4 linked regions of the Diceros bicornis minor genome follow. The protein of the gene in region 1 interacts with the protein of each later gene in a pairwise test. Links are inferred from orthologs where the notes say so. Each region holds a gene or a part of one and is shown in the gene's direction. Other genes may lie near its edges.

Evidence for each region.
Region 2: the proteins of CWF19L2 (region 1) and TRIM37 interact in binary tests that used the Homo sapiens proteins (3 or more experiments, as listed by UniProt). The two-hybrid records come from large-scale screens. The link is inferred for Diceros bicornis minor from reciprocal best matches to the Homo sapiens genes CWF19L2 and TRIM37.
Region 3: the proteins of CWF19L2 (region 1) and SF3B4 interact in binary tests that used the Homo sapiens proteins (3 or more experiments, as listed by UniProt). The two-hybrid records come from large-scale screens. The link is inferred for Diceros bicornis minor from reciprocal best matches to the Homo sapiens genes CWF19L2 and SF3B4.
Region 4: the proteins of CWF19L2 (region 1) and MEOX1 interact in binary tests that used the Homo sapiens proteins (3 or more experiments, as listed by UniProt). The two-hybrid records come from large-scale screens. The link is inferred for Diceros bicornis minor from reciprocal best matches to the Homo sapiens genes CWF19L2 and MEOX1.

The regions. Positions count from the first base shown.
Region 1 is NC_080746.1:28,177,385-28,184,557, forward strand, and holds the start of CWF19L2 (CWF19-like protein 2), read left to right. Parts: upstream 1-4,020; 5' UTR 4,021-4,050; coding exon 4,051-4,143; intron 4,144-5,727; coding exon 5,728-5,838; intron 5,839-6,554; coding exon 6,555-6,677; intron 6,678-7,173.
Region 2 is NC_080757.1:28,654,444-28,662,475, forward strand, and holds the start of TRIM37 (E3 ubiquitin-protein ligase TRIM37), read left to right. Parts: upstream 1-4,956; 5' UTR 4,957-5,401; coding exon 5,402-5,422; intron 5,423-5,691; coding exon 5,692-5,829; intron 5,830-5,846; exon of another isoform or gene 5,847-6,289; coding exon of another isoform or gene 6,290-6,295; intron 6,296-7,124; coding exon 7,125-7,226; intron 7,227-8,032. Other genes in the region: SKA2 (spindle and kinetochore-associated protein 2), read left to right, coding at 737-749. UniProt on the Homo sapiens protein: E3 ubiquitin-protein ligase required to prevent centriole reduplication. Probably acts by ubiquitinating positive regulators of centriole reduplication.
Region 3 is NC_080743.1:54,472,261-54,480,233, reverse strand, and holds the start of SF3B4 (splicing factor 3B subunit 4), read left to right. Parts: upstream 1-4,760; 5' UTR 4,761-4,825; coding exon 4,826-4,859; intron 4,860-5,310; coding exon 5,311-5,439; intron 5,440-5,702; coding exon 5,703-6,245; intron 6,246-6,565; coding exon 6,566-6,772; intron 6,773-7,973. UniProt on the Homo sapiens protein: Component of the 17S U2 SnRNP complex of the spliceosome, a large ribonucleoprotein complex that removes introns from transcribed pre-mRNAs.
Region 4 is NC_080757.1:42,388,748-42,396,635, reverse strand, and holds the start of MEOX1 (homeobox protein MOX-1), read left to right. Parts: upstream 1-4,642; coding exon 4,643-5,111; intron 5,112-7,888. UniProt on the Homo sapiens protein: Mesodermal transcription factor that plays a key role in somitogenesis and is specifically required for sclerotome development. Required for maintenance of the sclerotome polarity and formation of the cranio-cervical joints.

The DNA.
Region 1 (7,173 bases):
ACGCTGTGGCAGTGTCCCATATAAATTGGAGGAAGATGGGCACGGATGTTAGCCCAGGGCCAGTCTTCCTCAGCAAGAAAAGAGGAGGATTGGCAGATGTTAGCACAGGGCTGATCTCCCTCACAAAAAAAAAAAAAAAAAAAAGATACAATAAGCTAAACCCCAAATGTGGGATATTCTAATAGAAAAGGAACCCAATCTCTTCAATAAATAAATGGCCTGAAAATAAAAGAGGGGTGAGTGAGAATTGTTATGGTTTAAAAGAGGCTTAAGTCATCTTTCTCTTTCAGTTCCTTTCCTTTTCATTTTCTTCCAGAACAATTCAGTCCCAAAGTCATTTGGTGGGCTGAATGAGGTAGGCATCTGTGTCGGTGAGTGGAGGGGAAGTAGCTCAGAGCACAAATGGGTTGAGAAGGGTGCTCATGTGGATTGAGGGGCCTCTGGAACATGGGAATCAGGACCCAAGCAGGGTGAGGAGTGTATCTGTGTGGGAGGATGGCCTGGTTCAGGGTGTTGGAGCCTGAGTGGGGTAACCTGGCACAGGATTTCAGGGTTTCAGAGGGGTGAAAAGGGCATCTGTGCAAGAGAGGGGGGTGGTTATGGCAACAGATACTGGTTACATACTGGATAATTGATCAAATAAGTTAATATATTAAAGATAATGGGAATTAGGTTTATCCATGTTGGAGAATGGAGTTACAAATGTGGAAATGAAGAAAACTAGAATGAACTCTGTGGTATTGAATTGGAATTGGAGGTATCTGTATGAACTCATGGTTTCAATATATATAGACATATATAGAAGTATAGTCATTTATGTGTGTCTATATCTAGATCTTTGTCTGTATCTATGTATCTTTCCTCCTAGCTCTGTCCATCGAAAGGACCTGGGAGCAACAACACCCCAATGTTAATGAGCATACCTAGTGTCCAGATCTTGGCTTTGACAATTTTGAACTTAACCTGAGCCCTGTGCTCCTGTGCTCTTTCCTTACCAAAGTCTGGATTTTTTTGTTTGTTTGTTTAAGCCGAGGAAGACTCCCCCTGAGCTAACATCTGTTGCCAATCTTCCTCTTTTTGTATGTGAACTGCCACCACAGCATCGCGACTGACAGACAGTGGTGGAGGTCTGCATCCAGGAACCAAACCTGGGCCGCCAAAGTGGAGCACACCGAACTTAACCACTGGGCCACTGGGGCTGGCCCTAGATTTGTTTTTTATTTGACAGTTTCTAAATACCACCTTAAACAAAAATAAACCAGGGATTCTTGGAAAATGGGCTGATTCCAAGGCTTGGGCAGAGAAAATACAAAATGAAACTAGGTTATCTTCTTGTACTAGCAAATAAAGAAACACTCAAAGAATATGGAGGCATGTGAAAAGGACACAGAAACCAGCTTGAAGGGGCTCTCCCTGGCTAAAACTGGGACAATTTGTGCATCAAATAAATACTGATAACAATGTATTATTATCTCACTGAATAAAAATATGAATCTACTGAATAAAAATAGAAATCGAGTCCATATTGATATAAAAATAAATAATTTGAAAGTCTGATGAGAAATTTGCATAGTTTCAAAAAACTGCCTCACAAAATACTTGCTAATTACAAAGGGAAAAGGAGTAATCTTACAGTGGAGAAGTTTGGCAGATACCACTTTAATTAAATGATCAGAGTAAATATCACTAGTAATGAACAAATGGAAATTGTGTGTTACCTGATAGGATGCAATGAGAACACAGTCACATTTCTGTGACAGTTCTGCCCAAGATGGCTAACCTGAATCTAACCACAAAGAAACCTCAGACAAACCCAAGCTGAGTGTCATTCTATATCCTAACTGTCCTGGAATCTTCATGACTCTTCTGTAGTTAGTTGTGGCCATGTGATCTACTTCTGGTTCATAAGATTTAAATGGGAGAAAGTGGAGTAGGCTTTACCAAAGTCATCATTGTTCTACTTAAAAATGGGGTAGGCTTGGGGCTGGCCCCGTGGCTTAGCAGTTAAGTGTGCAGCTCCACTACTGGCGGCCCGGGTTCGGATCCCAGGCGTGCACCAACGCACCACTTGTCCTTCCATGCTGAGGCGGCGTCCCACATACAGCAACTAGAAGGATGTGCAACTATGACATACAACTATCTACTGGGGCTTTGGGGAGAAAAAGGGAAAAAAGGAGGAGGATTAGCAATAGATGTTAGCTCAGGGCCAGTCTTCCTCAGCAAAAAGAGGAGGATTGGCATGGATGTTAGCTCAGGGCTGATCTTCCTCACAAAAAAAAAAAAAAAGGGAGTAGGCTTAGCTGGCATACACTTTTTGCTCTATGACAATTCCTATGTCTTAATCGATGACATATGCAGATATGGAAGAACGAAACGCACTCTTGCGACTATGAAGACTTGAGTTACAGTCTAAGTGTTACAACGCAGAAAAGGAGAAACAACCTGTTTCCTTCAGCAACTGCACCAAGCCTGGACCAGCTACCTTCAGGCTCCTTATTACATCACCCCTTGTTTGATTAAACTCTGGATTTCTATTAGGTGTGGTCAAATGCAAACTAGTCAAAACAACTTGCTTTTCCCTTATTTTTCTATATCACCCCATCTAGCTCCCCTCTCTGATCCCAACATTTTTTTGTTGGCAATTTTACTGGTATTGCATTATATTTGCAAATTAATTTATGGACAATAGATTTCTTTATGATGTTGAGCCTTCTTCAAGCACATGCTATACCTCTCCATTTGTTCTAGTCTTTTGTGCTGTAAGTAGGGTTGAAAGTTTTTGTCATATAATTTTGCATGTTTCTGCTATAATCACTATTTCTTTTTATTTGCCCCATAATTGACGCGGGGGGGGGGGAATGATGTTTTTCTGAATCCCAAGAGAATCTGAAAGACTTTAATGCCATTAGAGTTAATTATGACATAATCAGTCAAGGCACAGTTAGTGGGTTAAATATTTCAAGGCCAATTCGTAAATTAAAATTCACTTTTCTGTAACAAAAATAAGAGTACATTCTATTTTGTATATCAAACGTGTAAACACTGCATGCTCAGAGTTAAGATTTTCATAGATTAGGTAAAGTAGAAACTCCTGGGAGAGCTTCTTGCAAACACAAATTCAGTTTTATGAAACCTGAAAAGAAAGCGTATTTACCTGTCTAGTTTATGTTAACTCTTTTTAATGTCATTAAAGTATCTAGTTTATAATTATTGTCCAGTCTTCTTTATCTTTATGATTATAAATGTAAGCTCAGTGTTTTATACTCGCAAAGCACTTGATCAGTGCTTCAGAATGTCTTACTCAACATGCAACTTAAAGTTTTATGTTTGGGAGAGAGATTTTACGTTTGTATCATAAAACAAAAAAAAAAATCACACAAATAAATCGGTAATTGCACACTGTAATGAATAATGCTTGGATGGATAAGTACGAACATATAATATGAGGTCGGAGAAAAAATAATGTGAAACAACAGTTTAAATAAGCACGGATAAATTATGAAGTATAATGCAAAATTCACAAGACTTTCTCATATACTTAAGAAGTAGTTCACCAAAGCAAAACACCGACTCTTCGAAGCAATTTTGCCCTCCTGCTAGCTTGCACAGCCTTTCTGGCCAGCCTCCCTTCAGCCCATTTCCCCAGCACAGGGAAACTTTGGCGAGAAGGGCACTTCGGTAGAAATCTTTGAGAGGTACGGATTTAACCTTTATGAACTTCTAATTTACTCTGGTGATTTTAAGAGGAAATAGGTGAGAATGCCGTTAGTATTGCCCAAAGTGCGTAATAAATGTACTGTGACATTAATCTTGCTCGGTGCGATCTCAATATACGAAGCTGGGCAACTCCCGAGTTTGGTTTTCAATTATCCTTTAAAACCTGGAGCTGAAGGGATCACCAGAACATTAAGCAACACTCAGATCCGCGCATGCTCTGTTAATGGAGCAGCGCCCCTCCAACCACAATCGGAAGTCTCCGTTTGTTTATTAAATTACGACAGTCGTAAACAGATTTCGTGACGGCTTCCTCGCTTTACGACGACAGCGACTATGGCGGCTGCGTCCGGTAGATTTGAAAGTGCGAAGGGCATCGAAGAGCGTAAGGAACACACCCGGATTGCTAGGGCCGAGGTGTTGCGCCAGGTACCTCCGTTTTGGGGCTTTTGGAACCATTTAGAATTGTGAGAGGGGGGTTCCTGGGAGCTAGGCCTCTGCCTCTCCTCCCTTCCCGCCCCCTCTCTTCTCTCACCCCCTCAGTATCTCACCTTTATTTGGGTGCGTGGGTGGGGTCTCCCTTTGGGATGCCCGTAAGCTCTTGGGTACCTCCCACCTCCTAGGTGCTCTGGCAAGCTCCGGTTGCTTACACTCTTTTTCAGGAAGGCTTGTTTCTTTCTTCTGAGTTTCTTTGCCTTTTAAATCATCCATTCTTGACATTTCTGGCACCTTATCATTTGGGCTGCGCACTTTCCAGGGACGCCGCCGCTAATACCGACTCTCCTAGCATATTTCATAGCCTCAGTCCTCGTTTTTGCAGTATTTGAAATGAAATTTTCCGTGTTCAGGAACTCATGTAAGGAGCATTGGAGTAGACTGTGTTTGACCGTTTTATTCTTCTGTTTACTATTGGTATCAATTTCAGGCTTATTGTAAACCCTTACTGGTCAAATCAAGGATTGATGCAAGAGAACCAGAAAATTTAGTCCCCTGAAAAATGTTGGGAAACATCGTATTTCTCATTGAGATTGAGATACGTATAGGTAACTTATAAAGAAAGGAGGAAGTAAACTGTACTGAATTATTTGACAAGATGTAAGAAGTATGGCAACGAAGGAGAAAAGTTGTAGTTGGAGAGAAACATATGGTATAACAAGTGAGGGTTTTTATTTTTGCTTAAGATGGAAGAGTTTAAAACGAGTTTAAATGCAAATGAAAAGGAGCTGGTAGAGGAAACAGGAAGGAGAAGGCATAATGACTACAGCCAGATTTTAAAGGGGAAGAGTGGGCTGTCGGTCTTGGATAGGTGAAAGGTTGGTATTGATCCCTGATTGTACCATATTTAATATATAATAAATATTCTTCATCCTTGTCTCTTTGATATTTCAGGTGTTTTTTTGGAGTGGGGTTTGTAAGCTGTGATAAATTTTATAGTAGAGCTATGCATAGAGTTTGAGAAGGACCAAACCCAGCTTTGGAGTTTGGGGAGAGAATGAAAGGGCAGGAACAACCTCCTAGGAAGAACTTACTTTATTTGACAGTTGTTGAAGGTTGAATAAAAGTTAGGAATATAATCATTTGTTTTGAGAAAGATGATTCCTTCTGAAGCATTTTGGGAGTGTGAGTAGAGGGGTATGGGCATTGAGGATTAAAAATGTGCAGGTCAGTCTCCTAACATTTACAAAAGTCTCAGGCAGTAGCAGTGGGATGGTGAAGATAAAAGAGATTCAAGTTGTATTTAAGGTAGGGGGCTTAGAGAGAGAAGAGGGTCTGGAATAGGTCCCAGATTCTGTCCTTGATTGGCGGCTGAATTCACTAGAGATTGATAATATGATTGGTCATGTGGAACGAGAGATTTTTGTTTTTTAAACCTTTATACTTTGGTAGAAGCACATTCCTGGCGAGGGACAGACAATTCATTCATGAGCCTTATATGAAAGTGAAAGTTTTTGTTTTACTTTTTGTGAAAAGAGATTGGATCAGTTGTTAATTTTTCTTTTTTCATTGTTTTAGGCTAAAGCCAATTTTGAAAAAGAAGAAAGGCGTAAAGAACTTAAGCGACTTCGGGGTGAGGATACATGGATGCTACCTGATGTGAATGAGCGAATTGAACAGTTCTCACAGGTGAATACTAACATGTTTACCTGATGTAAGCATGTTTGTCTTTTTTTGTACTTATTCAAGTTAGTATTGGAGGAGCAACTTTATCGACTATTTTCACAAGTTTCAGAATGAATATCCCATATGGGCATTATTGAATAGTTTTTCTGGCATAAATAATTTTAATATTGTGGGCATTATGACGTTGGAAAGATTTTGTTACTTGAATTGGCAGGTAGAAAGCTTAGCTTCAAATTTCTGGCCCACTTGTAGCAAGCTTATGTGTCTAAAAAATTATGCATTTTAAACTTAATGTCTTTTTTTTTTGTCTGAATCCTTGTTTTCTCTTCCTGTAATTTATGCTATCTTGTTATATTTTATATGGTTAGTAATCTGTAAATACTTTTGGAGCCCTAGAAAGATATGTACGTATGTATGTTTATGTTTGTGTGTATATGTGTTTATTTGATTATATCTGTCTGTCAGATGTATCTACAAATAAAACTAAAACTTCTCTCATTTTTTTTGATAAGAAATCTCAGCTATATGACTTATTAGTAGTGCATATGTTACAGAAGCATGTTCAAGTTTCTTAGAAGATTTTATTTAGTTATATTCCTTGTCTCATTTCATGAAAGATATAAAGTTTTTTGGAACATAGATCTTTTTTTCCCTTAAAATATTTCCTTTTAAAGTAAGCTAAAACTAAATTCCTTTCTTACTCTTCAAAATGATTATAGGAACACTCTGTGAAGAAAAAGAAGAAAAAAGATAAGCATTCAAAAAAAGTAAAGAAAGAGAAGAAAAAAAAGAGCAAGAAGCAAAAGTATGAAAAAAACAATGAGTCAACTGATAGTTCATCAGTAAGTATGTACTAAAACTGACCAAAGCAGCTACTTGAGAAAACTGTATTTAAAGGAACAATGTATGGGAACTTAAAATATATGAGAACTTAAAAAATATTACCAGTTAGGGTGTGAAAATACCTGGGAGACATCTACTTGGAGATGTTCAAGAAATATTGGAAATAAGGATCTTAGGTTACAGAGAAAGGTGAGAGGATGGAGGTATGATTTGGGAATCACTGCTCGTTGAAGCCAGTAGAATGGATGAATTGCCTAGGGAAACTGAAAGGAAAGAAGAACACTCAACACCAAGGAGCTAGACAGGAAGTAAAGGACACTGAGTAGAAGTAGCTGGAAAATTAGGAGAAGCAGGAAAGAGTAGTACTGTAAAAATAAGGGAAAAGAGTTCCAAGACATTTGAGAATCTGTTACTTCTGTTTGTTTTTACATAGAAAAAAAATTTTGAGTCTTTCAAATAGGATGTGTTTATATATTTATCTTTGGGGCCAAAAGG
Region 2 (8,032 bases), on another chromosome or scaffold:
TTGCCCTTTTGTATTTATTGTGCAATGATAATACATTTTCTTATTATTTATCCATTTTGAAATGTGTTTCTATTAACTTGCAGCCAAAAGCCTCTTAATTATCCTTCAAAATTTAGCCTAAGTGTCTACTTCTGAGGAAACTTCCAGACTATTTTTGTTCACACTTCTTTTTCAAAATACTTTTAAAATATAGCATTCAAACGTGACTTCTGGGCTGGCCCCATGGCCTAGTGGTTAAGTTTGTCACGCTCTGCTTCGGCAGCCTGGGTTTGGTTCCCAGGCGTGGTCCTCCACCACTTGTCGGCAGTGTGGTAGTGACCTGCGTATAAAGTGGAGGAAGATTGGCACAGGTGTTAGCTCATGGCTAATCTTCCTCAAGCAAAAAAAAGAGGAAGACTGGCAACAGATGTTAGCTCAGGGCTAATCTTCCTCAGCAAAAACAAACAAAAAAACAAATGTGACTTCTTTGGTTCTGTTAAATTCCAGTCTTAAAATTGTTTCTTGGTCTTATTTCTTCAACTTAATTGCAAGTGCTTTGGAAACTCCAACATCAAAGTACCTTGTATGTAGATAAGCAAATATCTATTTTTTCTCTGCCTTCCTAAATTTGTGATCACATACATACATAGTGTGAGCTTATGGAAACATTTGTTGGTGTGACAAAGGAGAAGTTAACTAAATCAATTTAACAGTCTTTAAAGCTTTTAAAATAAAGATTTTGTCATTTGTTTTCTAGTTATCACCACTGACTGAAGAAGAGAAAACTGCAGCAGAGCAATTAAAATCTCACATGTCAGATTTATGAAGAAATGGACCTGCAAGAGGGAACTCTAATGGAGAAGAGATCAATTCCAGAGAGGTTTAGGAAGATGTCTTGTTAGCAGTTGATAACTAGAGGTGGGGGGATGGTGAAGGAGAAGATTTGGCTTGGGTGACTGGATAGTGTGCCTTTCACAAGAGAGGGGAATATAGGAGGGGCAGATATTATATTAATAATTAGCCAAAAGGATAGAATGGGAATAAAGGGATTTAAAAAATATATGCACATACTCTTAGTCTTATCATTTCAGGCAAGGAATTCTCTTAATACTATTTTGCATCTGTTTTTGTATAATTAGGATAACATAGGTGTCCTGGCCTATTGTAAAAGAATATTTGTGTACTATCAGTCAAACGTGAATGAGCATGCTTTGGAAATTAAAGGATAGAAAAAATATTTGTATTATATATGTAGATAATTTTATTTTGGAAAATTTTGATTGCAAATGTGCTCACATTATCTGTGAGACTAATATGTGACCTACAGTCTCCTACAAAACCTAACTTTAGTAGTAAGCTGGCTTTTCTAAGACAGCCTCACTTTTGTTTCTTTTTTTCCTATTCCTTATGCCTACTAATGTTGAACAGCATGAGCTCTGCTTTCAAATGCTGTTTCAGATGGTCCCTCTTGTATTTCCTTTTTTTTTTTTTTTTGTGAGGAAGATCAGCCCTGTAACATCCAATTCTGATCCTCCTCTTTTTTGCTGAGGAAGACTGGCCCGGGGCTAACATCCATGCCCATCTTCCTCTACTTTATATGGTACGGCGCCACAGCATGATTTGACAAGCTTTGCTTCAGTGCACACCCAGGATCTAAACCTGCGAACCCCGGGCGGCAAAGCAGAGTGCTCGCACCTAACCGCTGCGCCACCGGGCTGGCCCCTCCCTCTTGTATTTCAATACTACCTTTGTTCTCTTTCAGCCTATATTACTATAGTTGTTCATTCTATATGAAAAGTAAGAAACTGAAATCAGAGGAGCACTGGCTATTGCTACTTGCCAGTTTGTGTGTGTGTGTGTGCGTGTATGTGAATTTCCCTATTTATTTTTAAATAACTATGGGCAATAAGGTAATTGTTCAAAGTAGGGACAGATCTTGATACAAAGATGTTAATCAGAGTTATCTATAATAGAAATACACATACATATCCAGCTACTGGTATCTAAATAGGAAAGGAAATCATGTGTATCTATACAATAAGAGGTCAAGTTGCCAATAAATTATTACTGTTAATGTTCTGGGAAATGCTGAAGCTATGCTAAATGGGAGAGAAGAGAAGCACATCTTGCAGTTTTATAGTTAAGATTGGGCTTTGGAGTCATACCTGAGATGTAAATAGCAGGTTTTCAAATCTGGCTATGTGACCTTGAGCAAATCACTTAACTTCTATGTGTCAGGATGGTTGGAAGCACAATGAGATGGTAAAGTGGTTGGGTCTGATATTTAGTAATCCTTCAATAAATGGTTTTTCCATATATGTAATAAAAATAAGGCATTGAAAAGACTAGGAAAAATGCATCAAATGTTAGTTCTGCAGGTTAGAGAATTACACTTTCATATAATTAAAAAAATTTCTGTTGTGAGCATGTAGTTGTCCATTAAAAAACTTATAATAGCTGACAGACACGGTTGGGAGAGTAGCTTCAGTTAAAATTGTCCTGTCTAATTTAAGAACAGAAAGCTCCCCTTTTTTAAATTACAGAGAAATAAGTCACACCTTAGTAACAGATATTAATTTTCTTCAGTATTCAGGCAATTAATATTAAGGAAGTTTCTGTTGGGGGATGGCCCTGGGATATGATATTGATTGGTGGGATTGAAAAATGATAGTATCATGAGGTCATAACAAGTTCCTGGTGTTCAAGTGGTTTTGCTTTCACTTGGGAAAAATACTAGACTGTACTGTTTTTCCTTCCTTCTCAGCTATCTTCGAAATGTTGGTTCTTCCCCTCATCTCCCTTAAAATTGTTCTCTATGCACTTCTTTATATATTCATTTGTTTCCCAAGCTTCATTTATTGTCTCTTTGTGGATAATTCCCAAATATAACTCTTGCACTAGATCTACATCCATATTTCCAATGAAAACCTTTACTTGAGTATTCAAATTGAACACGTCAAAAATACTTACTGATTTCGTTATTGGCCACTATTCTGGTTAGTTGATAAAATCTATAATTTTGTCTCTGGAATGTTCATAGTTTCCAACCTCCACTTCATTCTTACTACCCTAATTTAGACCTTTTATTTCCCATCTGGATAATTGTTTTCTCTTATGTGACTATAGTGTTTTTATGTTTTTAGTTGTAAGTAATAAAAATTAATTTTAATTAAGTTGTTTTAATGCAACTTTAATTTTAAGAAATTTAAAAATACAAGTGTGCCTATTCTCCAGAAGTAATCTGCAGTTTCTTCAGATGTTTCTACATGTATACAAATTAAATTTTTTTTCATTACAAAAATAGGCTGATACCACACATTGTACTGCAGCTGCACTTGGTTTTTTCATTTTAAATATATTTTGGATATCTTCATGTCACAAATCTGCCATTCTTTTGAACAGCTGTAATCCAATATATGGGTGTCCCATAATTTTTACTAGTACTTTATTGATAGGCTTTAAGCTGCATAATAGACAAGTTAGGAGATTTGTCTGGGGCAGGGGCAGTAATGGGGGGAGGGCAGTAAGGTCAGCCTTTAAGGAATTCTGATGGAGCAGATTACAGGCTTCCCAACTCCACAGTGTGTAGTTTAGCATCCTGCCAACTAACTTCTTTTTTGCTTAAGTTAGCCAGAATCTGACTTTGTGCTTGCAACCAATGACTAGCTGTACAGGTTTTCTAATTTTTCAGTTATAAACTATTGTAATAAATCCTGAAACGTTTTTGGGTTCTTGGGCAAATATATCTATTTGTACAAGAACCTATTGTAATATTTATCATATATATTTTAATTTGTCTTATTCTTTTCTACTATACTGGGTTGCAAAGACCATTTCTCATTACTCTTTGAATCTCAAGTAGTGTTCTATAAATTTTTTTGAGGTAAAATTCACATAACATAAAAATTAACCATTTAACATTATTAAAGTGTACAATTGAGGGCATTTTAGTACAAATGGTGTTGTGCTACCATCACCTCAATGTTGTTCCAAGACCATGAATAATTGTTGGTGAACGAATTTTTCCGTCACAGATTAATCTTCCTAATTTATATCTTTGTCCATGGCTCACATAGTTTAAAAAAATTGTTGTTATCCACTACTTATAAGAAAGTCCAAATGCCTTGATACCAAGAACTTCTTTCTAGATTGTTGATTCTCTACATGTGCACTTTAGGTTGGGTTAAGTATAGTAGGTATTTGCAACAAACCAGAATGGAAAAATTAAGTTCAAATTAAGAATTTGATGTACGTCCTTTATCTCACACCTTCAATTCCTGCAATCGTTAAACATCTCTTATGCTAGAGAATTGTAGAAAGCAGACGCCAATAGAAGAAAGTTGAAGACAGCTGATAACCCTTGTGCACTTTCCATAGTTCCAGAGTAACAGCTCACCTCAAGCGGCAAGAAATGCAGGGCTGGGGTGGGGTGGGGTGTGGTATCGGTCTGATGTCTACACAGTCTGCGGTCTTTTCCTCCCACCCCGAAATGAGAAGCCCCACCGGTCTAAGCTTCATGATCTGGAGCTTTGCTTGCGTAGGTGGGGCGGAAGTCTTAAAAACCTGAGAATCTGGGCTTCCTCCCCGAGAACGAACTACCAGCCGAGAATCCTTTGCACCATGGTTTCTCAAAGCGCGGGCCACAGAGTGGTTGTTGAAAACGTGGATTGCATGGAGCCCCACCCTAGAATCACCGAGTCCGAATACCCAAGGGTGTGGCTCCGGAGTCGGCGTTCTCCACTAGCACACCAGGTGCCTCCGGTCATTGGCGCGCAAAACTTTGAGACGGGTGGAGCGCTGCCCCTCCCCCGAGGGGGGCGGGGCGAAGCGAAGCGCTAAGCTCCTGGCCGCCTGCGCTAGCCTGGGGCCGAAGGCACGCAACCCTGCGGCAGCGAGCCGCCAAATCTCGTCTGCGCACCCGCAACGCGGGAACTAGGGGTCCGCCCCGCCGCTGCACTCCCCTAACGCAGCGTCCTGCGCGCATGCGCGCCGCGCCTTCCCTAGCCGCCGCGGCTCCAGCTGCCCTGGTTACCGTTGGTGTTTGCGAACTCCCTGCACCGCCGTCTTCGCTGGAGACCAGCGCCGCCCGGCTGTAGCAGCGGTTCGATACCCCGCGTCACGTGGGCCGAGACTCCCTCGCGGTCGCTGGCGGGCGGCTGAGCCGGGAGGAAGGAGCTGCGGCCACAGCTCGCCCTCCCACTGCGCCCTGTGGCGGGCTCGCGAATAAAAATGGCGAAGGGGGGGTAGCTGGCGCCGAACCCGAAGCGATGGGGCGCGCAGGTGGGACAGTCGTCGGAGCACCCTGACGTGGGCGCCGGGCTGTTCTCCGCGGCGATTTGTCCCGGCGACCTCGGGCCGGCGCCTTCTAGGTCAGTCTACGGACTCCGCGGGTCGCCAAGGGCCCCGCCGAGAGCCGGAGGCAATGGATGAACAGAGCGTGGAGGTGAGGGGGCTTGAGGTGGGTGGTGGTTAGTCTACCCCCCGCCCCCCCCGCTAAGCGTTCTTTATTTCTTTATCCGGGGCGCTTTGCCCTAGTCCTCCCTCTGGTAGGGCACCCCACCCTGCCGCTGTGGAGAGGGCCTCCCCCCGTGCGAAGGACACAGCGCTTATTTGCAGCCTTCCAGGTGCCTTGTGCTCTGGCCGTTCCCGCAGTCAGATGGTTCGTATCCTGGCCTTTTCTGGATGTCTTGGCACCGGTATTCATCCCCACAGGGTTTTTGCAAAGTACAGCGTGTGCAGAGCAAAACTGCGAATTCATCAGATGGACGTGCCCTGCGACTCGCCACCAGTTCTTGCGAGTTTACGCGCGGATCCACATCTTCCGAATGGACAAATCATTCCCGCCCAGCGGTACATTTTGCAGCCCTTCCTAGATTGAATGAAGATATACTCTTACTATCCTATTTGACTGTAGTTTTCCGGAAAAACCTATTATTTTTATATCTGACTCTTGTAAGCTGTGATTTCGAATGGTTGGGATATTTACATTAAGGCTAGCAACATAAAAAAGATTGTTTATTAGACTCAATTATATAATAATTGTCAAATTTTGATCCTTCCAAGTACTAAATCTTTGCTTCTCAGTAAGGGGCAACTATGTTACTGGGCACTCCACTTGGAACTAGTTAACCCAGTGGTCGTATTGGCCACCCCCCCACGTCTGCATGTCACAGGTTCTTTCTGGTCCTGCAGAGTCATGATGAGACTCATGAGTAATTTTTTCCTTAATTCCTCGTGTGAAAGTATCATAAAGGTTTTGTAACCTTACCTTGGTTTTGGGAGAGTTTAATTCTCCTGGAATGGAGTCAAAATGAATGTGAGTACTGTAAAAACAAACATAAAATATATAATAACCTGTATTTAATTGTATCTGTTTTCTTGTCAGTTACTTCCTAAATTGATTCATCTAAGGCTTGCAAAGATAATACTGCTTTTTCTATTTATGTAATTTTTTTTCTTCCCAGAGCGTTCATAGAGCTACCACCAAAACTCAATAGGGGCAGAATCTCAGGCTCAAATAAATAGCTAGTTGGTTTCAGCATCAGGGCAGAAATTTGGATTTCTGGATTCTGAATTAGTTTTTCTCGTGATCAAAGCACACTGCTATTAGGATATGTATCTTTTTAAACCTTTTTTTTTAAGTTATAAAAGCAGTCCATCCTCTTGGGGAAAGTGCAGAAAACAGTAGAAAGTTCATATTGTTCATTCAATTATATAGTTTTTTTTTCTTACTGTTATACATCATAAGCATTTTTCTGTATCATTAAATAATTCAAAAAATATTTCTAGTGATTATCATAATCTGTATTAACTGCCATAGTTTAATTAGTATTTGGATATTTGGGCTAATAGCCAGATTCTTGCCATTATAATTAATGCTTCAGTGAAAATATTTGTGCATAAGTCTATGTTTGCGTTTCATATCTTTTCCTTAGAATAGAATCATTGAAAGCTTAGAAAAAAGGAAGCACCTTTTCCAGGAGACGTTCTCAGGTACCCTGGACCTTGACTAACCAAGTCCTGATATGGTATAAAGTTATCAGCCCAAAATAAATGTAAATATTGAGTGAATTATTTTAAGCATGCCTTTTACTCTTCATGCAGTAGCCTAATGTGGTGGACTTTACATCTTTTACTATTTTCAGAGCATTGCTGAGGTTTTCCGATGTTTCATTTGTATGGAGAAATTGCGGGATGCACGCCTGTGTCCTCATTGCTCCAAGCTTTGTTGTTTCAGCTGTATCAGGGTAAGTTGTATTTCTTTTTACGTGCATTTAGTATATATAGGATATATCGTAAAAAGTAACCTTTTCCTTTATCTTTTTTGTATTTTACATTTTGGACCCTTTTTAAAAATATCTTAAATGAGGGGCCGGCCCAGTGGTGCAGCGGTTATGTGCGCGGGCTCCGCTTTGGCGGCCCAGGGTTCACAGGTTCGGATCTCGGGCACGCACCAATGCACCAGTTGTCAAGCCATGCTGTGGAGGTGTCCCATATAAAGTAGAGGAAGTTACTTTAGGATGTTAGCCCAGGGCCAGTCTTTCCCAGAAAAAAAAGGAGAATTGGCATCGGATGTTAGCTCAGGGCTGATCTTCCTCACACACACAAAAAAATCTTAAATGAATATTCCTTAAGACCGTCGATGTATATTGTTTAGTACAGGGAGATGAATAATCATCAAATGATAACTGCCATGAAATGTCTGGAAATCAAAGCCCAGTGTAATTTAGTATATTTACGTTAAGTCACTGCACATTTAACAAGTAGTTATGAAGTGCTTGCCTGCATTGTGTTTGTGGTTGAGGGATGTTAAGATATGTGAGAAAGTGTTTGCCCTGAAGGAGCTTAAATCTAAGTGAGAGGATGGACTTTGAGTTTATGTTGAAGAATGTGTAGTGTCATAAAGAGGCGCTAACATGGGCCGGCCCCGTGGCTTAGCGGTTAAGTGCGTGCGCTCTGCTGCTGGCGGCCCGGGTTCGGATCCCGGGCACACACCGACGCACCGCTTCTCCGGCCATGCTGAGGCCGCGTCCCACATACAGCAACTAGAAGG
Region 3 (7,973 bases), on another chromosome or scaffold:
ATTGAATTCAATGAATTTTATTATACTTACAATGTTGGAAAACCATCACAATTTAATTTTGGAAACTTCATGGCCATTTATAGTTGCTTCTCATTCCTATCCCTAGCCCTAGGCAACTACTACCCCACTTACTCTTAACCCTTCAGGCTGTAGACTCTGAATCCTGAGTTCTGATCTCTTTGCCCTTCTAACACCTCTATTCTTTATCAGATTCATCTGTAGCTGAGGATAAATGGCTCTCAGCCCTGGAAGGAACACGATGGTTGGACTATGTCAGGTACTCCCTTTTTCTGGCCATCATTTATAATTCGACCCTCTCCAACCTTCTGTTAACTTGGACTCCTAAATGGCCTTCCATTAACTCTTCTCCTTGGTTTCCCAAGAAGACTGTTATTTGCTGCTCCTTAGAAGGAGCTGCCTGTTTCATCCCAGGACCCATCACTCCCTCCCTTCAGGCTTTTCATTCTTCCCTCCCCTTCCTCACCTGCCCCTCCAGGTCTTGTCTTCGAAAGGCCAGTGACATCTCAGTCTTAGTGACATCCAGAGTTCGCTCTGTAGTACTTCAAGGTGAGTTTCTTGGGTCAACTCCCTCCATTCCTTGCCTTTTTCCTTTACCCACCTGACTGGTTCTGCTCAGAGAGGGAGAACTATAAGGCTTCCTTGTTCCCTTCTAGTGCTAGCATCCTCCTCTCCTGTTACTAGGAACTACCCATGAGCTCTAACTCATCCTTCAGTGCTACTTCTGCCTCCCCACTAAGCTTGTGGTCCCTAACAGTAGGGTTCTCAGCTCTCTGTTCCCGTCCTTCCATCAGTGGATGGGGATTGGGATTGGGGTGGGAAGGACAATGTGGAAGCTGGTTTGAGATTTGTGATTCTGCCTCCTACATGTGAAGCTGGGTATTTCTATCCAAGTGGAGTCTATGAAGTGAATCATTCAAGGTCTTTGTTTTGTCTTCACTTCTATGTGCCCTCTCAATCCTAACTACCCAAAACTTTTCCCCTCTGTGCCTCTTACTTCTTCTTGCCGTGCTTCCTTTTCTCATTCTCTTCTGCCCTAGTTTCTTGGTCCCTCCTTCTTTGTCCCTTCTCCCTCTTTATCACCCAGAGCGCGGTGATCGTGATTTCAATGGCCTCCTCTCTTCACTCGTCCAGCTGCTTTCAGCCCCTGAAGCCCGAACACTGCTTGGCTTCCAATCACTAGTGCAGCGAGAGTGGGTGGCAGCTGGACATCCCTTCCTGACCCGACTTGGGGGAACTGGGGCCAGTGAAGAGGTGAGAATGTTTTGGGAGTGTTTTGGGGGGGGGGGTATTACTAAAGAAGTAAGGGGATGAGAAAATTATATAGTATAATCCATTGGAGGTGAATCAGGTCAGAAGGGTCCTGAAGTTAGGCTGAGCTTGAAGAGAGACCCAGATGAGTGAGGGACCACAACCCTTTACACTCAATTCAGATTCCATTCCTGACCTTCCTACTGGCTCCTGTTCCCTGTGTCTCTCATCCCGTCATTTTGTCATCCTCCCCTTCTAGGTCCCCACAATCTCTTCCAACCTCGTAATTTCCCTCCTCAGGCCCCAGTGTTTTTCCTCTTCCTTGATTGCGTCTGGCAGCTCCTCCAGCAGTTTCCAGCTGAGTTTGAATTCTCTGAGTTTTTCCTTCTTGCTCTTCAAGACAGTGTCAGGGTTCCTGACACCCTTACATTCTTGAGAGACACTCCCTGGGAGCGTGGAAAGCAGAGTGGACAGGTCAGTGACTTCCATTTTTGACTTGTCTTTTTTTCCCCCATTGAGAAGTACTCTCTGAATTTTAGTCTTGATTTATGAAAAGTGAGGTCTGTCGGTGGGAAAGGGGGAGGTTGGCACTCACTCTCAGGACCCGACTTTCACTCCATCTGATTCTTGGAGTAAGAGATAAGAGTTTCATGATTTCTCTATAGACGTGAGAGAAGGATTATATTTTTTTATGTTTGTTTAACCATCCTTTTTCTTGTTTCTTCTGTCCAGTTCAACTCCTATCCACAAGTCTATACCCCAGGGTACTCCCAGCTCCCAGCTGGGAACTCTGTTAACCCACAGCTGTCTGTCTGGGACTGGGATTTACGCTACAGCAATGAACAGATACTACAATTCCATAATCCTGGCTATGACCCGGAACACTGCCCAGATTCCTGGCTCCCTAGACAGCAGGTGAGGTGTCTAAATTTCCTAAATTCCCTTGACTGTCTCACAGACTCATCCTATTAGATGGCGAGAAGTGGAAAGGCACAGTGTCTGAGTTCCCCAGGGAAAGCTATCCCACTCCTCTTCTGTAGCTGTTATTTATAGTCGCTGTCCCCAGGAAGACAGAAATCCTGGAATTGCACAGAGGGCATCCTTTTTGTCCTCCTCATCTCCTTTCTCATGCACACATTTTACAAGTTTCCCTAAAGTCAACTTTAATCAGTCCTGAGGTCTAGTCTGAAACCTAATGAGGAGAGTAAACAGAGTTCTCAGGGGTAGGCTTGTAGTTCCATCAATAGTGCAGTGTGAGTGGGTGGTTGCTGGGCATTCCTTCTTGACCCGGTTTGGGGAAACTGGGGTCATATGGTTTCCAGGTTGCTAGTTGATTTCTCTTTCTCCTTTAGCCAAGCTTCATGGTTCCTGGACCCCCCAGTTCTGTGTGGCTCTTCTCTAGAGGGGCCCTGACCCCCCTGAATCAGCTCTGCCCTTGGCGGGACAGTCCCTCCCTGCTGGCAGTCTCTTCTCGTTGGCTCCCTCGACCTGCTATCTCCTCTGAAAGTCTAGCTGATCAGGAGTGGGGGCTCCCCTCACATTGGGGAGCTTGCCCTTTACCCCCAGGGCTGCTGCTGCCTGGATATCTGGGACCCCAGATCAGACTCTGGAGACGCTGCTACCTGAGGGGAAGGCCTGAGGTCCAGGTGAGTAGGGAAGACAGGGATTGGGAGTGGGAGAAGGGGCTTGACTGCTGAACTAGATGATCCAAGAGAAACCAGCTATTTCTAGGAGCTGGAAAGGCAAGAGGCTGGAGGGACTGGGAAGTCAAGTTCTATTAGTGTAGGTATCCAGGTGGATACATTTGGGAGTGTGGGGCACGGGGGAACCTGCTTGTGACTTAGATCAAGTGGAACCTAGGGCATAAGTGGAGGGGGAAAGAGAATTAAAGACGCCAGAAGCAGTGGACAGATCTTAGAAGCAGAGAGCTAGAGCTGCAATAATATTCCTCTCTGCCTCTCTTCACCCCACCCCAGATGGGCCTCTCGGCTCCCACAATCTCTGGCCTCCAGGATGAGCTATCCCATCTTCAAGAGCTATTAAGGAAATGGACACCAAGAATATCTCCTGAGGATCACTCCAAGAAAAGAGATCCAAATACCATTCTCTCCCAATCCCGTTGAAATTGCTGGCTTTCTCATGGGCAGGGCAGAGGGCAGTCTACGATGGGGAAGGGTTCCTCTAATCCTTCAGTTTTTCTTATCTGGTCTTGCTGCCTCAGCTTTTACACTCCAGCCCTTAAACAAGCTGGCTGACTTGTTTCCATTGCAGATGGCGGGGTGCTAACCTTCTCTAACTCTTGTCCCGTCTCATTTGTTTCTTATAATTTGAAGAATTAAGAAACAAAAACAATCCAAAGTATGATCACCTCTTTTTTTCAGGGAAATTGCATCCATTTTGGATATCCAGCTGTTAAATTGTGAGATAAGAGATGCTATTCAACAGTCCCAACAAGAAGGTCTACAGACCTCAGTCTCACCTCCTCTTGCTGCTTCTTTAACTCTAATTTCTATTTCTTCCCTTACAGTTTTCTATGGGTATGTGGAGTGGATATGGGAGACACCCTGTCTCTTCCAATTGTGTATTTTTGTAGTGACATTTCTATTAATGAGTTCATTAAAGCTCAGTATTTATACACACTGCTGGCATAGTTTCTTGTGTTTGAATAAAAGATCCCAGGTAAGTGGTGGATGGAGGGTGGCTGTGACCCAAGAGAAGGCGGCACCCACCACATATTGCTAAGGAAATAAGGGTATGTGTCAGGTGAGGCTCTGCAGAATTCATATGCAATTTGGGAAAAGTGTTCTCTTTTCTGTGCCTCTCATTTAGGGGAAACATGGGGCAAAAGCATACCAAGGTGTTGTCGCTGCGGCGAGCGGTATGTTCTGGACGTTAAGACTGAGGACCCCGGGCGTCAGTGTCAACCGCCCTCAGCTTCGGTCGCACTCCATCTCTGAGCCCCAGGTTCCCCTCACCCCCCTGTGCAATAACGATTCGGTGAACTCATACGTCGCTCCAGCTCAGACATTCCGCAATCCCCTCCCCTGAGGGAAAACGAAATACCTGAAGCCCAGCCCGGCGGTGAAGCCGCATCTGCCCAAAGGCGGCTGCCCGGGGTGGAGAGCTGCCTCCGCGCTCGAAGCAGCCGAGTCCTTGGGGTGGGGGGGTTCCTCAGCACACCCTTCTCTGGGGAACAAAAGAAGGAACATTTGGCTACAAAATATATGAAAAGTAAAGTTTTGTTCTTTTAGGTTTCGAATTTACACTTTTGGGAGCAGTATAACCCTTTAACGTCTAGCACTTCTTAAGACGGTCTGAGCATTTCCCTTCCGCCTTCCCCGCCCTCCCCGCTCGCAGCGGCACCTTAACACAAAACCAGCGACTGGAGAACTGAGCGCCGTCTCAGCGGCTCCCAAGATGGCCGCGGCCGCTTCCGGCCCCTCCCCCGCCGGGGCCCCACCCACAGCCTCCCGTACGCCTTCGCTCCGGAAGTGGAAGTAGTGACTGAGTTCAGAGGGCGGAATCGCTGCTTGGAGGCGGCGGGACGTTTTTCGCCATGGCGGCCGGGCCCATCTCCGAGCGGAACCAGGGTGACTGGAGGGGACAAGCCCGGAATGGACTCAGGGCGGCTGGGAGGTCTCGACTAAGGCCAGCAGTGTTTCTACCGGGGCGGGAGACTGAACCTCCGCGGAGGGCGCGAGAGCGGCCCCGGTGCCTGCTGGGGGCGGGGTGGCTGGGTGCGGGCTGAGGCCTGTAGGTGTGATGCTCTCTATATCCAATCCCCTGCTGCCTTCCCGCTCCAAAAAAAAAAAAATTCAAAAAGAATTTGCGGCAGAACTCTTAGACTTCAGAAGATTCTCCAGTTCCTGGAAAGAGAAAGGTGTAAGGGCTTAATCTAACGTCTTTTTTTTTTTTTCTTTTTGCTCCTCTGCCTTATCTTCACTCTCAATTCCCCCGCCTGGATTCCATCTTCATATTTCTGTCACCTCCTTTGCTGTCATACTCTCATTTCTGCTCTAACTTCCTGCTCCCGCCCTCCAGATGCCACGGTGTACGTGGGGGGCCTGGACGAGAAAGTTAGCGAACCACTGCTGTGGGAGCTATTTCTCCAGGCAGGGCCAGTAGTCAACACCCACATGCCAAAGGATAGAGTCACTGGTCAGCACCAAGGTGAGTACATGGCAAGAGTGCATTTGGCTGTTGAGGGGACAAACTGCTCCTGGAGGACCCCAGCAGTATTCACAACTGTTTTGTAATGAGCAACCTAAAGATTTCTTTCTCTTAAGCCTAGCTCACAGTTTGTTTCTGGAACCATTCTCAATCAAAGTGAGATTATTATTTCTTGTTCTTTGTGCTTTCGGAGGTGAATGACTTTTACACCATTTTAAATCACTTCACGTAAGTTGTTAACCTCCTCTCTTCCACTTCCCCAGGCTATGGCTTTGTGGAATTCTTGAGTGAGGAAGATGCTGACTATGCCATTAAGATTATGAACATGATCAAACTCTATGGGAAGCCAATACGGGTGAACAAGGCATCAGCTCACAACAAAAACCTGGATGTGGGGGCCAACATTTTCATTGGGAACCTGGACCCAGAGATTGATGAGAAGCTACTTTATGATACTTTCAGTGCCTTTGGGGTCATCTTACAAACCCCCAAGATTATGCGGGACCCTGACACAGGCAACTCCAAAGGTTATGCCTTTATTAATTTTGCTTCGTTTGATGCTTCGGATGCAGCAATTGAGGCCATGAATGGGCAGTATCTCTGTAATCGCCCTATTACCGTGTCCTATGCCTTCAAGAAGGACTCCAAGGGTGAACGCCATGGCTCAGCAGCTGAACGACTTCTGGCAGCCCAGAACCCACTCTCCCAGGCTGACCGCCCCCATCAGCTGTTTGCAGATGCACCCCCTCCACCTTCTGCCCCTAATCCTGTGGTATCATCATTGGGATCTGGGCTTCCTCCACCAGGTAAAGCTTTTGATTTAAAATATGTTTGTCTTGGGTTGGGGAAGGGAGGGCAGGAGGAAGGAAAAAGAACTTGATAAAGACAGACATTGAGTCAGTGGGTCGTGAGAAGGCTTGAGGGATGATGGTTGTGGTGGGGAAGAAAACTGTTGAGTTTCTCCAGAAAGTTGAAGTTGTATGAGTTGCCTAACATTGCTTCTGGCTTTAGAGGGCTGGGAGGAGGGGAAAGGAGCTCATCCTGCCTGGAGAGGCGTGATTGGAACTGGCTCTCTAAAGATAGTCTCTCCTCACTAGCATTAACTCTTCTTCCATTTCTTCTATAGGCATGCCTCCTCCTGGCTCCTTCCCACCTCCAGTGCCACCTCCTGGAGCCCTTCCACCTGGGATACCCCCAGCCATGCCCCCACCACCTATGCCTCCTGGGGCTGGGGGACATGGCCCCCCATCAGCAGGAACCCCAGGGGCTGGACATCCTGGACATGGACACTCTCATCCTCACCCATTCCCACCCGGTGGGATGCCCCATCCAGGTGGGTGTTCTTTGCTGAGAAAGGGAGGGATGAGCTTCATAGAGGAGCTCTATCATCACTCATGCTGCTGCTTTTTATCCTTCAACAATAATAGTCCCAGAGCTCTCCTTTCCTTCAAACGTTCATTTACAAAAACAAACACAAAACTCTTTACTGTGTTTACTTTACCAATTACCATCCTGTCTCGATTTCTTAGTTAAGTTTTTCCAAAGAGTAATCTATACTTGCTGTTTTCTGTTTCCTTAACTTTTATTTCCATTCTCTCTGACTTCCATTCAGTGCAGTGACCTAATTGCCAAATTAGGGGACATTTCTGCTCCTTATCTGGTTTGACTTTTGCTGTACTTGAAACCAGCCATGTCCTCCTGTTTGGAAATCTTGTCTCTTGGTTTTTCTGGATTCTCCATCTGTCTGCCTGACTCCTCGTTCTCAGCCACCTTAATAAACTTCTTTTTCTCCGCTTGTCCCTAGGTTTTTGTGCTTGGTTCTCTGTTCTGCATAGTTCCATTACTTTTACATTGATGCCTCCTAGATCTATATTTCTGGTCCATCGTTATTAACATTTCAGATCCTTAATCCTGCTGCTTAATAGACAGCTCCACCTTTTTATCCCTCCCCTTCAAATCTATTCTTCCTGTAGTATTTGTTTTCAGAAATCTTGGAGCTATGTTTGACTATTACCTATCACCCCACTCTTAATACCAAGTCTTATTAATATCTCTGGCAACAGCCCCCACTGCCAGTGCCCTGGTTAAGGCCCTCATATTTTCATTATTTCATACCTAATTTATTGTAGTAATTTCCTAGGTGACACTTTGACTCCAATTTCTCTACTGTTGATCCAGTTTCATGGTAATTTTTCTAAAACACAGATGTTCACACACCCTTGCTCAAAATTTTTCTCTTGCTCCCTTTTACCTACAGAGTGAAACTCAGAGTTGTTACCATAGCATTCTAGGCTTTTTGTGATCAGGCCCCTGCCCATTACTCCTGTGACTGCACGCTGCTCCTTTATTACTGAGTTACTCATTTTCCTGGAACGTACTGCGCTGTTTGACATACCTGTGATTTTCACATGCTAATCTTTTATGCCTGGGATGTTCTATTCCCACTCTCTTGTCCACCTGAAAAATTTTTATTCATCCTTTAGAATTAGATCTTTTCTCAGAAAATGTTTCTTCTACCTTCTCAAATCCTGGCA
Region 4 (7,888 bases), on another chromosome or scaffold:
TCAGCCTGCCTCTGACTCCTTCAGGCACAGAAGCCCTGGAAGGGGCGTGTTTAAGGAGCACCTCCTGAGTGCCCGTCCATGGTCTCTACAGCAAGTCTCCACTTTTCAGCTGAGGAAACCGAGGTCATGTGACCTTCAAGAGCCAGGGTTCAGATGCAGGCCACTCTGTATGCTGTCGGGTTTTCCAGTCATCTGCCTACAATCTTGGTAGCAGACAAGCGATGGTCCTCACCAGAGGTTTAAAAAATATATACAGGAGAGAAAACAGTCATCTGAGGAAACTGTCTCTATCGGCTCAGTGTTTTCTGGGATTTAGGGAAAGACCCCATCGTTGGTTCTCTAGGGTGGAATGTCTTGGTCCCACCTCGCAGGCGTCGCAGGGGAGGCTGTGACAGTCGTGAGAATTGTATTCTGCGGTTTACTCCACTGTGTCCCGTCCATCCTATTACTTGAACCTCACAAAAGTCTTATAGGGCAGTAGTGACCCTGCCTCTAAGGCTTCTGAGAAGCAAAGGACATATACATTCTAATAAACCCCACGCCTGGTGGTAAACATCCTAGTCCAGAGCCATTTCCACCATATTCAAGCTTGTCTGTCTCCTGTCCTGTCCCTCAGGGTCTTGCTCGGGAAGAGGTGTCTCATCTGGTTCACATGTTGTACTATGAGAGTTAATACTAATGGCTCCATCTTGTCCCTCTTGGGTGGCATATAACTATTTCACAGGGCCTTCTGGAGTTGTCTTTAAGGCAAAAATCTCAGGTATTTTCATCACCATCATCATCATCATCCAGAAATTATCACTAAAAAGTATATACCGGGCTGTGGCAAGAGCTCTCCTAGATCGCCTCCTACACTTCTCTCAGCAACCTAATGGGGAAAGAAGAAAGAGTTGATCCCCATTTTACAGATGAGGAAACTGAGGCTCAAGTGATAAAGTGAGTTGCTCAAAGTCATTCTGCTTATTAGTGACGGAGCTTGGATTTGAACCCATGCTCTCCTAATTCCCAAGGCCATGATCTTGACCCTCTGTTATGTTGCCGTAGAAGAAGGTCCTGGAGGGCTAGGATGGGCCATCTTCATCCTCCATCGAGACGTGACCTGTCCAGTGGTCCAGCAGAGTAAGGAAAGAGAAGCCATAATCATTCCCCACGTGCCTAACCTTTTACAACTCTTTTCACAGACATCAGTCCATTTATCCTCAGAACAGCCATGTGAGGCTGGTACTGTCATCTCCATTTCACCAGTGAGAAAACTGAGGCTCAGAAAAGGGGTGTGACTTGCCTGAGACCACACAGCCGATGACAGGCTGTGTGGCCTTCACACCTTGAGCCCGAGTCTTCTGCCTCCAGTCCCCAGGTTCTCCCTGGGACACCCTGCCACTCCAGGCACAGGTGGGTGGGGTGGCCAGGCATGGAAGCAGGTCTGCGGCTTGGGACACGCCCGCTTGTGGCGCACAATGGGGGAAATTCCAAAAGCTCTTTGCGATGGCTCAGGTGTGGGCACGCGACAGTCCTCCTCTGGGACCCTCCCCCTGACGCACACTTTCCCTTTTCCTCCCCGTGCCACCCCTAACAACAACCAGAAACGGGGTCCCCTCCCTTCCTGAAAACCCTGCTCCCCTTGGCCGCACGGCCACAGGGCTTTTTTCCACAAACAGCCACTTCCATCCATCTCTGTCCCGCGGGCCGCGGGGCCTCGATGGGGAAACGCCGACTTTGAGGAGGTTAAAGGTGCTGGTGCCCGGCCTTCATCTAACAAATGGGTTGCCGTGACGGGAGGAACTCTTGTTGTTTTTTCCTGGCCTCCGAAGAGGGGCCTGTCAGGAAGATGTAGAGGCCAGCAGGCCCCCGGCCGCGCCCCCGCGGGGTGGCTGACAGACGCCGGCAGCTGCGGGGCGCAGGGGTGCCAGGGCCCCCCCACAGAGCCACAGCACCCCCGCCGCGCCCCCTCCCCGCTGCCCCTCCTGACCTCTCCGCCCACCCCACCATGACCCCGGGCCCACCCCTTCCAGGGGCAAAGGGCCAGGCGCTGGGCCTCCCTGGGATGGGGTCTCTGGGCCAGATGCAAGGCCAGAGCAGGAATCCGGTTACAGCCTGCGGGCCAGGCCCCTGGGGAAGGTTTTCCTAGGAAAGCTGACAGGCCAGATCTTCCTCCCAGCCTTCTATGGATTCCTTCCAGAGCCCCCACAGCCTGGGACCCCGCGAGGGACCTCACAAGGCTGTTTCTGTAGAATTTCCTCAGTGCTCCCCAGTCCCACAGTCCCCCTTCGGAATCATTGAGTTAAAGAGAATGAGATATGCTAGGAAGGGAGCCGCATTTATCTATCACCTGCTTTGCACTTCACATGAATGATTTGTTTAAAATTCTCCAATGTCTGTGGAGTGGGCATCCTGATGGAGTGGAGCCAGGCTGCCTGGGTTGGAATCCTGGATCCTCCACTCCCCAGCTGTGTGACCCTGTGCAGGTTACACAGTCTCTCTGTGCTTCAGAGTCCTCTTCTGAAAAACGGAGGTGATGAGAAAAGCACTTGTCCCAGAGGGCTTTTGTGAGGATCCCCTGGGGGAATATGTGTGAGGTGCTAAGATCAGCGGATGAATGTCAGCTCTGACTATCATCTCAGATGAGGAAACAGAAGCTCAGAGAGGTGGGGCGACTTGTCCCAGGGCACACAGCCAGGAAGTGGCAGACCCAGTATTTGAACTCACACCTGTCTAACCCCAAAGTCCATGCTCCTTCTTCTGCATCAAGCTGCTCCAGACTGGACAGCTGGACACTTGAGGGCAACTCCTGGTTCTGCCATATCTTAGCTGTGATTCTGAGCAGCCCACATCATCTGTCTGAGCCTCATTTTTCTCATTTGTAAAATGTAGAACATAATTCTGACTTTACCGACAATAAGAGAGTTGTGAGGTTGAGAGGAGAAACGTGTATGCAACAGCCAAGTCCTGGACAAAGCAGAGAGATGAGTCTGGTTTGTGGCTATGACTCCATCTCCTCTACTGGCCTACGACACTCTGGCCGCCCTTTCCAGAATGCAGGATGCCTATTTCATGAAGAGAGTGTGTGCCACCTCCAGGCTGCAGAGCTAAGACCCGTGGCCCCTCCTCAGGGAACCCTGGGCATCTTTGGAACCAGCCAGCAGAGACACTGCTATTACGGTCCATGCCTATTTCAGCCTGATCTTGCTGCTCCGGGCCACGGAAATATTCGGTAGGAGAGGAGCACTGGCTCCGTGTGCTTGGAATGTCGTCCTCCAAGAAATTACATTAACCCTCCAGAAAGACCAGCAGGGCATGAGGACTAAGGAGACTGATGGACCGGTCAAGATGGCAATTGGTCCTCCTGTGATAGGCACCAGCCAGGAAGACCATGTGACTGTTTGCCCAAGACAATTCCTTTGGGAATGAGAATCCCCCTGATTCCTATTTCCATGCCCCAGATTCCATGGAAGCTTTGGCCTCGGGGGGGGTGGGGCAGGGGAAGCAGGTGGGTGAAGGTTAGGGGGGCCAGGGAGCAGGTGGGGGAGGCCTGGAGAAACTTCAAGGACCTCATCTAAGAGCCTTTCCTTTACCATGGAGAAAAACGACTTGAAACCCCTCTAGAGAAGAGTGTGGCTAATTGGCATGTAAGTTGGGGGTTAAAGAGCGGAAGGAAGAATCTGAAAGTTTTTTTAAGTTGCTGAGAAAGTGAGACTGTCACTTTGGGCAGAAAGAAATCATTTTTTTCTGGAGTGTGTCTTTCTTTATACTACAGACCATAGTGGGCCGCTGAGACTTGCAAAAAAAGATTTCTTTTAATCCACCTCCCTTTTTGCAAGCGGCAGTAGAAGGGCCCTTAAATCAAATGCAATCAGCAAACTTGTCTCTTGCACTTATTCCCCTCTTCACTCCCTGGAATTTGGCACTTGATGGATTCTGGATCTGACTTAAGGCTTTTTCCAAATCCAAGACTTGGGGAATTTTGTTAACAGTGCAATAAAATAACTTCATAGTGTTACAGGAGGCACATTAAAGAAGTTGTGTGTGTGTGTGCTGCTCTCGCTCCTTAAAAAAAAAAAAATACAGACAATGTTTCTTTAAAAGTCTCCATCTGCAAATCCCATTAGATGTGCATATAAGGTTTCTGATGATTAATAGTTGCCTGCTCGGGTTTTGGTTGGAGGGGATCGTGCGTGTGCAGGTTAACCCCTCCCTCTCCTCTCTCACATTTCACTTCAGAAATTTGTCACTCTCTCCCCACCGCAGGATTTAAAAGTGTGTCTCAGCAGCCCTGGTCCAGCCCTCTGCAGGGCTCCAGGACGAGCACTCATCAGCTGGTGCATCTGGGCTGGGACAGTGAAAATGTTCAGTGTCATCGGTGATAAATACACGTACAGGGGACCCCGATAAGCAGGCTGGTGTGTCAGGGGGACAGGAAGCCAGGAGAGAAGTCCGACATAGGTGTGTGCACACGTACGTGTAGCCAGCCACGTGTGTGCATACTTTAAGGAAAGACTTTAGTTTTTGTTTTGGTTCCTGGGGTGAATTTTCTGTTGAACATTTTTCCCTCTTGTTTAACTTTTTTTTTCTGCATTTAAAAAATTTTTAATATAAAAAGTATAAGAATCAAACCGAAAAGACGGAGGCACGCAGCAGACGGCAGATGGATCCCGCGGCCAGCAGCTGCATGAGGAGCCCCCACCCCCCAGCCCCGGTCTGGGGCTGCCTTCGGAATCCCCACTCGGAAGGCAATGGGGCCTCGGGGCTACCCCACTACCCGCCAACCCCGTTCTCCTTCCACCAGAAACCAGACTTCCCGGCGACAGCAACAGCAGCGTACCCCGACTTCTCAGCCTCCTGCTTGGCGGCCACCCCACACAGCCTGCCCCGGGAGGAGCGTGTCTTCACTGAGCAGCACCCCGCTTTCCCACAGCCCCCCGACTGGCACTTCCCTGTCTCGGAAGCCAGGCGCAGGCTCAACCCGGGCCCAGCTGCGAGCTCCAGGGAGATGGGGGCCAGCAGCCCAGGCCTGGTGGACGCCACGGGAGGCCCAGGCGAGGACTACGAGGTCCTTGGGAGCACTGCCAACGAGACGGAGAAGAAGTCAGCCAGACGGAAAAAGGAGAGTTCAGGTAGGTGGCTGAGGAGCAGCTGACCGTTCCTTTACTGTGTGACCTTGGGGAGGTTGTTTGCCCTCTCTGAGCCTAGCTGCTCTGACCATGAATTGCGAACAATACTATCTAACCTACCCAAAGGCAGGAGTTAACTTCGGGGTTTCTTCTACTCAGAGTTCTAGGATTCTCTCCTGATGGGGACCCTGTCTATATCCCCTGTACTCCTGGGCTCCAGGAAGGATGTACCAGCAAGAGAATGAAATAGGATCCACAAAGATTTGGAGGATACGTGGGATGGAGTGTCTGGGTGCAGGCTGGCAAGGGCTGAAGAGGGGCTTTCCTGAATCTGGGCTACCTCTGCATCATGCTTCTCCCCACCATACCCTGGCCAGCTCCAAATGGTCCCAGAGCCACAAGGTTTGCTCACCAGGGGAGTGAGCTGAGACGGAGGCTCAGAAGGCTAGGACTGAGGCTGGGACCCTGGGTGGTCAAAGAGAGCCAGGACCCTGAGTGGTCAAGGAGAGCGGGACCCTCCAGGAGCCTAGAGGCAGAGAAGCAGCCCTAGGGCTGGGATGGTAGAGGCAAGGAATGAGAGGGAGATGAAGCACTGAGATTCAGGACAGATGGCCATGAGGTATCACCCTGCCCAGCTGGGCCATGCCCAGGCCAAGGGGGCAGATCAGCGTGCTAAGGCCTGGGTGACCCCCAGGGAAGGCCACCCCTCTGAGGAGCCCTCCTGAGGCATCACCAGCCTTGGGGAGAGTCAGGGAGGTGGGCAGCCAAGGGCAAGCTCTAGACCTCAGCTTGCAGGTAAAGCCCCGCTCGGCGCTGGAGCCCCAAAGGCCAGAGGACAGAGCTGGCCTGCCTGTTAAGAGCCCAGCTAAAGTCCATCTCCTCCCCACAGTGGGGACCCGTTGTTTCCGCATCTCCCCATGGGGCTCTCCCCAGCTCCTCTCACCACCCGGTTACCTTTTGCCTGGAACAAGGCAGTGCCTGCGCCTCCCTCCCCCCCTGCCCGCTATGCCCTTCTGACAGCCACTCTAGGGGCAACGTCTGTCTGTCTGAACCTATAGAGAACCTTCTCCTGGGGCTAACCAGGGGCAGGCAGAAAATGAGAGTGCCAACCAATCAACGAGGACACTGTGCTTTGCTTTACAAGGCACTTTCCATGTAGCACAGACTTCTCGAGCATCCTCGCTTTGCCAAGCACTGGCCCAGGCCCTGGGGATGCAGAGATGAATAAGGTGGTCTCGCCCCCAAGGAGCTCACATTGAGAGGGAGGAGAGGCCTGCAGAGGCCTGTCTGGCAGTGGATGTGCTATGATCGGGGAGGTTCGAGGTGCTGTGAGAAATGTATGTTAGCACTTTTGAGTCCCTCCAGTTTGCGAGGTAAGTATAGCAGGTCTTATCAGCATCTCGGTTCTATCCGTGTGGAAAAGGAGAGATGGAAAGTTTGAGGGGAACACTGCTAGAATGGAGTCTAAATAGAGTGACCCCTGCATCTCAATTTGCCCAGGACTTTTCTGGTTTTAGCACTGAAAGTCCCGTATCTCAGGAAACCCTCTTAGCCCCAGGCAAACTGGGACAGTTGGTCACCCTAGAAGCGAGCTCGAACCCCGGGCTTCAGACTCCAAATCCTACACCCTGCAGTAGATTTCAAGCACAATCCTCCTTTTGAAATATTCAGTCTCCATGCTTGAAGAAGCCCTCACCGTGTTCACAATGGATGATACTGACCACAGCCCTCCTGGCTGCTCAATCTGAGGGCCCTTTAAATCCCCAGCCAGTTAAATCCGGACCTATTCCTAGCCCTGGTTGGAGATTTGCTGAGAATGGGCACTTTCTGCTTCTCCTCTCCAAGGCGCTCTCAGTGACTTGGCTCTGCACCTGGCTGAAGAGCTCTCCCCTGTGTGGCGCCTGCCACCGTAGCTCCTCCCTCTCTGCCCACATCTCCCTCGGCTGCCTCCAGCCACTTTCCAGGGAACTGGGAGCCAAGGCCTTGGGAAGGCATGGGCAGAGCCAAGGGCTGGGCTTAGGCAGAATCATTCTGTGTTTCAGCAAGACCCAAATGCGCCGTCTTTCCCTTTGGCCAGGGGCCATGGCGCTGCATTAGGGAGTAAGCTCACGTGCCAGGCAGCTGACCACCCCAAGAGCACATGGACACCCTCTGCTTAATGCCCTGTACTCTTCACTGGTCGGGGGAGGTTCCCATCCAGGAGGGGCCCTGGGCTCTCCCTTGAGGTCCCCTCAGTCGCAGCAGCAATGGCAGCAGTCGCACAAGGCAGGGCACAGCAAGCTGACTTTCATTCATTCTCTGAGGTTCCAGGCCCACTCTCTGTTCAGCATGGAAATCTTATCACTCAGTTAGTTGCTTGAGTCTTCCTTTGGAATTTAACTGATGGGGAAGGAGGCGGGAAAGATTAGCTTTGTAAGAGCCTAAAGAGAGAGCAAAAGGATGAGCAAGGCTCACAACCAACTCCAGGAATCTGGGATTCAGCTTAGAAGAGACAAACCGCAGAGAACCCCCACCCCAGCCCACCAACCCTGAGTCACTGGTTGGATTCTCTCTCTATCTAGAATTTTGATATTCTATTCATTATGGATTTTTTGCATTAATTTTGATTTTTAAAAACATCACATTGGGGCCGGCCCTGTGGCGTAGCTGTTAAGTGCGTGCACTCCGCTGCTGGCGGCCCAGGTTTGGATCCCGGGTGCACACCGATGCACCGCTTGTCAGGCCATGTTGTGGTGGTGTCCCATATAAAGTGGACGAAGATGGGCACAGATGTTAGCCCA